Linked DNA regions of Danio rerio. The protein of the gene in region 2 binds, or shares a complex with, the protein of the main gene of each other region. Links are inferred from orthologs where the notes say so. Each region holds a gene or a part of one and is shown on either strand. Other genes may lie near its edges. The genes, in order: nalcn and unc80.

Region 1 (3,829 bases), on a different chromosome or scaffold from region 2:
AGTTAAAGCATATCTTGTTTGTTTCATTTCAAATCGATTACACACACACGCACAGACGCACAGACGCACACACACACACACACACACACACACACACACACACACACACACACACACACACATATATATATATATATATATATATATATATATATATATATATTTTTTTTTTTTCATTTATTTCGGTTAAAGATTAATTTAATTCCAACTGAATCTTTGTTTTGTAGAAAAAAAAAAATTATTACCATAAATTATTATTAAAGCAAGAATGATATTATGGAATATAAACAAGATCAACATAAAATTTTTAGCCAGTAATGCCACAATTATTTAATCACAGAAAACATAACTGAAAAATTGACGGCTTTGGCAAAGCATTTTCTTTTCTTCTAGCAATTTATAGAAGGCTTTAAGACTGGATGTGTCAGAATACATTTAGGGCAAGACAATTTTTTTTCTATGCTTAGAACAGGAATTGATCTTTAAAATACCCATATCACGTATAGATCAGATCGTTTCAGACTGTCTGAAGTGGAGTTTAAATTAAATAATGTAGAAAGAGAGAGACAGAAAACTGTCAAGAGGGACAGGTCAATCTTTCTGTCTCATAAATAACAGTACAAAATCTTCGAAACAGAGGAACCCTAAACCTTTCATTTACACACTGCAGTTGAGATCATAATCAATGTGCTCTAAAGAGCTAAATTAATTGGATTTACAATCAAAGGTACTGGGCTGCAACAAAAACAAGACAAGATGACCGGCCTTCAGGAGAGAGATGAGGAACATTTACAGTCTAATATAGTTAGTTAGAGGTGTGTGTGACAAAGAATGGTGAGCAGTAAGGTTTAGAATACCTGCAGGGTTGGGACATGCATGACTCTAGTAAAAGGAGACTCAAACATCATGGAAATACAAGAGCAGATAGTGACCACGATCATCACCCAGTCCAGATAGGTTACCAAGCCCAGCAAATCACTGGAGAACACACACAGACACAGACACACATGCAAGGTTTAGTGCAGGCTGAATGTGTCAAAATAGGATTTTCCTACTCTGCATTCCTCCTGCTCTTCAGTCTGAGCTTATGTAACTTAATTTTTCAGATCTTTGAAACTGGTGAAATCCTTTTAGGACAATGTAGCCCAAAAGTTTCTTCTAATCCCACACTGGAATGTCATCCAGATTGAAACTTTTTTAAAGCCCTTTTCTCAAACTGCATTTCTAGAATCAAAATAGACATAACTAAGGGTAACATTCATAGAGCCAAATCACATTTTGACCCCCCAAAATATGAAACTAAGATATACTATATATTTTAGCATTATGTTCAAGGCAATTTTCATTAATATAATAGATCCAGATGATTTAACACTATTTATTAACATTTAAACAATACATTTTAAATTAATTTGTTACATTTAATTTAATCTGCACCATCTAACTTTTTCAAATACAGTATGTTGCCATCTCGGACTGAAATATAAAACTGTAACTTACTTGCTAAGTTATTAATCATAATCACCACATTAGACCTGTCATTCTACATTGACATGTCTGTATGTAACATTTCAGCCAGTTTTGTTCTCACCAATTGAGAACTTCTGAAGAAAACTGCATTACTGAGCATTTCAGCAAGCTAACATTTGAGCATGAAGCATAAACACAGAGCTTACTGTCAAGTGTGTCAGAAAAATTAAGTGAAAGTCAGACAGAGTACACTTGTTGACTTTTATACGGAACAATTCAATTTAATAGACGATTTTCACTTTTTATGTAGTTATGAGCATTAATAAATGCTTTTTGTTATTCTTTTGACTACAATTTACATACTGCAACTTTAAAAAAGTTATATTTTGAATGCACTGTTATATTAAAAGGAATATGCAGGTGTATGCTGCAATTACTCTATACAATTTATGAATTTCACAACAAAACAAAAACACAAAACATAATAATAATAAATAAATAAAAACTCTGTATATAATAACAGATTATCATAACGCATAAGCCCTAAACATTTTGGGACTTACTATAATTGATGGTATTTTGTGCTGTTCACTGCGCCTGTATTGGGATCCGTATTTGACCTATTCATAAAAAGCCCATTAACACAGTATCAGCAAACGTATGGAAAACAAACACACACACAGAGAACAGTTTGTGAAACAAATAACAGTGGCTATGGTGCAAAGGGATTAGTCATCGCCATGATGTGCATGAAAATACTACTGTCTCTATATAATGCAATGGATGTGAAATAGTTTTAGTCTTACGCATTAAAACGGGCTCTAACAATCATTCGGCAAAAGTTTCTGAATCGATGCTCTCTACCAACGATGAAGAGTGGCTTGTCAAAGTATGGATGGTTTTCCCGAAGTTCCTCCTCTTGGACTTTTCTGAGAATTAACAAACCAAACAAAAGCAACAAAACAACAAATAAGAATTCAGAATAAAATCAGAAACCTCATCTACTGCAAACTCTGCTCCCCAATACTGCTTTTATTATTAGGCTACATTCACACTGCAAGGCTTAGTGCTCAAATCTGATGTTTTTTCTCAGATCTGTTTTATTTTATTTATTTATTTATTTTTTGTTTAGCTGTTCACATTGTTGTTATAAATGTGGCCAGTATCCAATTTGCAGTGTGAACAGACCATGGTCCTAAACTGACCTGTATGCCCAAAAGTATACCCAAAATGTCTAATTATGCACACAATGAAGTAAGCACATTGTCAGATTAGGCTTAATATATTTATTACCCTTTTACAACATAACCATTGTATATTTTATGAACTGTACTTGTTCTGCTACTACTAATGTGTATTTCGGAAACCCAATCTATAAATCTTTTTTGATTGAAAACACTGATCATTTGTAATTTATGACAAGTGTGGTGTGCGTCCTTCTGTCCACCGATGTGGTAAACTTATCAAGGGTTAATGAGCAGCAGCCGCAGACTGAACTTTGAAGGCGGAGTACTGTAGGTTTATTTTCATATTCATATCAGTCTTTCATATTTGGTTCTGTTAATGTATTAATTATTAATTAATTATTAATTAATTAATTATTTATTAATTATTAATTATATTATAAGTAAAATATAGCTATTTTGTTAATGAATGGTTAACAAGTGCCAGTTTTGCATTAAATTATTATTTTTATGCTGCTGAGGAGCAGAGGACATTTGCAGCACAGAATGATGATTGGGCCACATATGCATGCAGTGTGAACGTAGTCCACTTTTGGATATTTACAGGGTTCTTAGACATTTTTACTACAAAAATTTCATGATTTTTCCAGGACTTTCAAGTCACTTTTCATGACCTAATGTTTCATGTAATGTCTAGATATACGTTGTATATCATAAGAAATGTTTAAACTTGATACAGCATATTATAAAACACAATAATTTCAATTTATTTTATATCTATGTAAAATAGATGATGTTTATACAGCACTAATAATGTGAGAGCATGTTTTCGGCCAAGAAAAGAAAAGATAATCTTAATAGTTTGTGAAACTAGTATTAGTAGGTAAAACTAATTCTATTATAAAGCCGTGATCACACTGCACTTTTTGCTCCAAAGACTTCCATTTATAGCCATGCGAATGCGGAAGACCAGAAACGCAAGCACGTGTTTCGCATTTCACTGCATTCGAAAGATCAAGCTTGTTGAATTCTTACCTGCGAAATCACATTAGGTGATTGCGTGAGACCAATAGAAGATCATTTAAAATAAGAAATGTAAAACATGGAGCAATCACTCACTTTTATAAATGTCTAATCATATTGTTTAACCCTGCCCTTCTTCGCAGCGCTGTACG
Region 2 (3,829 bases):
ATTATGTTGTAAATGTTTATCGTCTGTTTGTTTCATGTGAACTGAGCATGTCATTTCCACTCTTACTGTCATCCAGATAATCTTCATCCTCATCCTCCTTTTTTGCTCGTCTCTTGCTCTCTTCATCATAGATAAAACCCAAGATGTTGGCTGGACTCTCACTGTCTGAATGGCAAATTTCACTCAGCCGAGTGCCTATGGCCTTTTTGAGCACACATATATTAGATGCAGACAAAATACCACAGATGCAATTCTGCAAAAGCATGTAAGATTTGTTTTCTGCAGAAAAGACAACATTTGCATATCTGACTCACGTCTCCCCACTGGTAAAAGTGCTTGGCAGCATTCCACTGCAGCTTTGTGTTCCTTTTGTTTCCTGCTACAGGCGACCGTCCTCTGGACAAACCTCTCTTAGTGATGTTCACATGGTGACCTTTCATCCACTCTGGCCAGTTCCCTCGATTACAGCGATGCACAAAACGAGCACACTCCACAAAGAGTGAGGCTCTCGCCACCACTGGAGCTTCCTGGGGAAGACATTTATAAACATTATCAAGACATTTTTTAGCTCATCTAAAAATAATTTTTAATTTTGACAGAGCATTTATAGAATGTTACACACAAAGAACATTTTTTTTAGAATACTAATAATAATAATTATCATTGTAATTCATCCATTCATTCATTCATTTTCTTTTTGGCTTAGTCCCTTTACTAATCTGGGGTTGCCACAGCGGAATTAACCACCAATTTATCCAGCACATGTTTTACGCAGCGGATGCCCTTCCAGCTGCAACCCATCTCTGGGAAATCATCATCATCATCATTATTATTATTATTATTATCATTATTATTATTATTAGAATTAGAATTATTACCCAGGGATTTTATTTTATTCTTTTGGTGTTAAGCTGGGGAAAAGCATTTAAAAAAAAGCCTTTGCTAATTATTAGTTTAAAAGAGAATGTTAAATAAAAACCTTAATGGATTTTTGTCAAACAAAAGCTTAGAATCTTTAATCTCCATTTTTTATGGTTCTATGACAGCCACTATTGAATAGATAATGTAATATAGAAACATAACTATCATTATAAATATTTTATTTTTATCTTTCATCATTAGAAAGCTTACAGTTTCCATTTTTTTGGGGTCCTAAGGCTTAAATTAGACCAAACTGTTGGCACAGAATCATAAATAACAATGTTTTTTTTTTTCTCATAGAGGTGCTCAGAGGTGGCACAAATGTATTTAATACAAGAGGGCTGAATTGGGTCAGAGAGGAATTTATTCCAGTATGTGGCTTTGTGTTTACACTGATTTTTGTGCAGACAAAGAGCAGCCTTAACTCAAAGTAGTATAATAAGAGCAACTTAAAATTTGTAATTCCAACCATAAGCAAACAAAGTTCGGATACAAGATTAAAAGATGAATTTTGAAGCTTCTGCTTGGATCTACATTGGAATTCAGGAAAGCTCATTTTATCAGTTCAGAATTAATACTTAAAAAAATACAATTTTGCTGTTAAGGTTGATTTACAAAATTTTGCACAAACAGCTACATACAGCTTGATAATAAATTTGCTTTGTGACAAATGTAATACAGTTGATGCTAATATGTCATAGGTTTTTTTTCTGTTTTAAGATACAGAGCTATTGGAATGGAATTTTTAAGAACTTTCTGAGATTTTTAGGGTGTAATTACTGCCTGATCTGATATTTTTAATTCTGGGACAAATGTATTTGTTATCAAGTACACAACACAAACTACAATTAAGAATTCTCAGAATTGTTTTAGAAGAAACAGAGGCTCCAACATGTAAACTATGGGTTGTAGAAATAATTTCTACTTTACATTTGGAGCAAATTAGGTACTTTTTAAAGTAAAAACTTGAGCAATTTGACCAAATCTGGCAACCTTTTATCTGTTTATCTTGATAAGAACTATATGGACTAATGCATCACATAATATTTAAAAAAAATACAATACAGCCTCAACAGATATTCTTAAAAAGGTCTCGTAAGGAATGGTTTGTGATGTGAGTGTTTTTCTTTTTTTTCTTTCTTTATTTGTGATTTTATTGCATTGTATGTATGTAATATTGGGACAAAATATGTAAAATTGTGAATCCTTTTTTAAAACTTTGTCTTCAATAAAAGAAAAAACTCTTGGCTTGTTCCAAAACAGTTTTTTTTTTCTGTTGAACCCAAGGAAAGATATATTGAAGAAAATGTTGGAAATCAGCAACCATTGACCTTAATAGTAGCAATAGCAAATACACCACCTGACAAAAGTCTTGTTGCCTATACAAGTTTTAGGAGCAACACAAAATAACTTGACTTCTAGTTGATCATTTGGTATCAGAAGTGCCTTACATGAAAGGCAAAGGCCTCTAGATTAAACTTAGTTAACCAAAAAAATATGATCATGCCTTGATTTTTAATGATTTAATAAGGACAGTAAGGTCTGACTTTGCTTAGACCTTGGTCATATTGTGTTTGACTCCCATGAGCTTGAAGGACTGCATTTACACATCTCTGCAATAACTCAAATAACTTATTAATAAAGTCATCTGGATGGCAAAGAAAGTGTTCTTGCAGGACTCCCAAAGTTCATCAAGATTCTTTGGATTCATCTTAATACCTCCTGCTTCATCTTACCCCCGACATGCTCAATAATGTTCATGTCTGGTCACCGGACTGGCCAATCCTGAAGCACCTTGACCTTCTTTGCTTTCAGGAAATTTGATGTGGAGGCTGAAGTATGAGAAGGAGCTATATCCTGAGAAATTTGCCCTCTCCTGTGGTTTGTAATGTAATGGGCAGCAATGTTGTTATCCACTCTGCAGATCTCTCTCAGCACTCCCCCATACTGAAAGTAACCCAACCTTGACTGATTTCTGTGAGAACCTTGGGTCTATGCAGGTTCCAATAGGTCTTCTGCTGTATTTGTGATGATTAAGATGTAGTTCAACAGATGATACATCAGAAAAATCTACATTCTGCCGCTTTTCAAAATGATCAACTAGGAGTTATTATGTGTTGCTCTTACAACTGGGATCGACGACAAGACTTTTGTCAGGTAGTGTACAATGGAGGTCAATGGTTACTGGTTTCCAACATTCTCCAACAAATGTTCCTTTGTGTTCAATAGAACATACAAAAACTCTAACTGGTTTGGAACAAGTCAAGACAAGAGTGAGTAAATGATGACCGAATTTGGGTGAACTAGACCTTTAATGGCTTTCAAGTCTATCCCCTTATAAATATGCTTTAAATGTAATTCTACAGCTATCTGTACACAAAACCGAAGAAACAGAACTGACCAGGTCTAGTGCTGCAGCCAAAATAGAAGCATCTGGAATGGTTCCCGGCTCACAGCAGTTCAACAGGAACTGAAACCTCTTCATGCCTTGTCTGATCGCACCCAGATTCACAATGTTCTTATTCTTCATGGCCTCCTGACTGGCAGCCAAGCGCTCCTGGAATCCATGGCAACCTTGTTGGGGTACAGAATGGCATCATTGAAATGAATGTAGCGACTTTCAGCATGAACATCTGAAAAAGCCGGTGAAATATGCATCCGGTGATATCGAATGAGCATGCAAGTGTTTAAATTTGTTTGTGTCACTACTCTGAAATCACAACAACACTACAAGATCTACAAATTATGACTTGCAAAATTTCCTCAAGTAACTATTAACTTGGAGAGCTGAAGGTTTACGAGAACTCTGACAAAGCTGTGGCGGGTCATGGTGCCAGGGTCATAGGTCAGAGAACCACAGTTTTCCTCTTCCAGCGGATGGTTCTGACAAAAATGGACAAACACACAC

What was found.
Region 1: the proteins of unc80 (region 2) and nalcn are in contact, whole or in part, in a cryo-EM structure (PDB 7SX3), measured with the Homo sapiens proteins. The link is inferred for Danio rerio from reciprocal best matches to the Homo sapiens genes UNC80 and NALCN. Residues at the interface, in NP_115893.1 of Homo sapiens: Lys1979, Asn2004, Glu2005, Cys2006, Asp2007, Leu2128, Arg2129, Leu2130, Pro2131, Pro2134, Arg2135, Ile2138, Asp2139, Phe2142, Phe2145, Ser2146, Glu2179, Asp2184, Glu2185, Met2187, Leu2188, Asn2191, Asn2194, Ile2198, Leu2199, Glu2202, Ser2226, Leu2227, Ser2228, Gln2231; in NP_001337678.1 of Homo sapiens: Asn639, Met643, Val644, Ile646, Lys648, Leu649, Pro650, Phe653, Val655, Pro656, Lys657, Ile658, Arg659, Glu660, Phe662, Met663, Lys664, Gln665, Phe666, Ile667, Arg669, Val711, Ser713, Arg715, Ala716, Arg717, Leu719, Lys722, Glu723, Ala725.

What each region holds. Positions count from the first base shown.
Region 1 is NC_133184.1:33,300,945-33,304,773, forward strand, and holds part of nalcn (sodium leak channel NALCN), read right to left. Parts: intron 2,400-3,829; coding exon 2,277-2,399; intron 2,091-2,276; coding exon 2,034-2,090; intron 979-2,033; coding exon 858-978; intron 1-857. UniProt on the Homo sapiens protein: Voltage-gated ion channel responsible for the resting Na(+) permeability that controls neuronal excitability. NALCN channel functions as a multi-protein complex, which consists at least of NALCN, NALF1, UNC79 and UNC80.
Region 2 is NC_133181.1:17,598,975-17,602,803, forward strand, and holds part of unc80 (protein unc-80 homolog), read right to left. Parts: intron 3,496-3,829; coding exon 3,323-3,495; intron 528-3,322; coding exon 315-527; intron 203-314; coding exon 67-202; intron 1-66. UniProt on the Homo sapiens protein: Auxiliary subunit of the NALCN sodium channel complex, a voltage-gated ion channel responsible for the resting Na(+) permeability that controls neuronal excitability.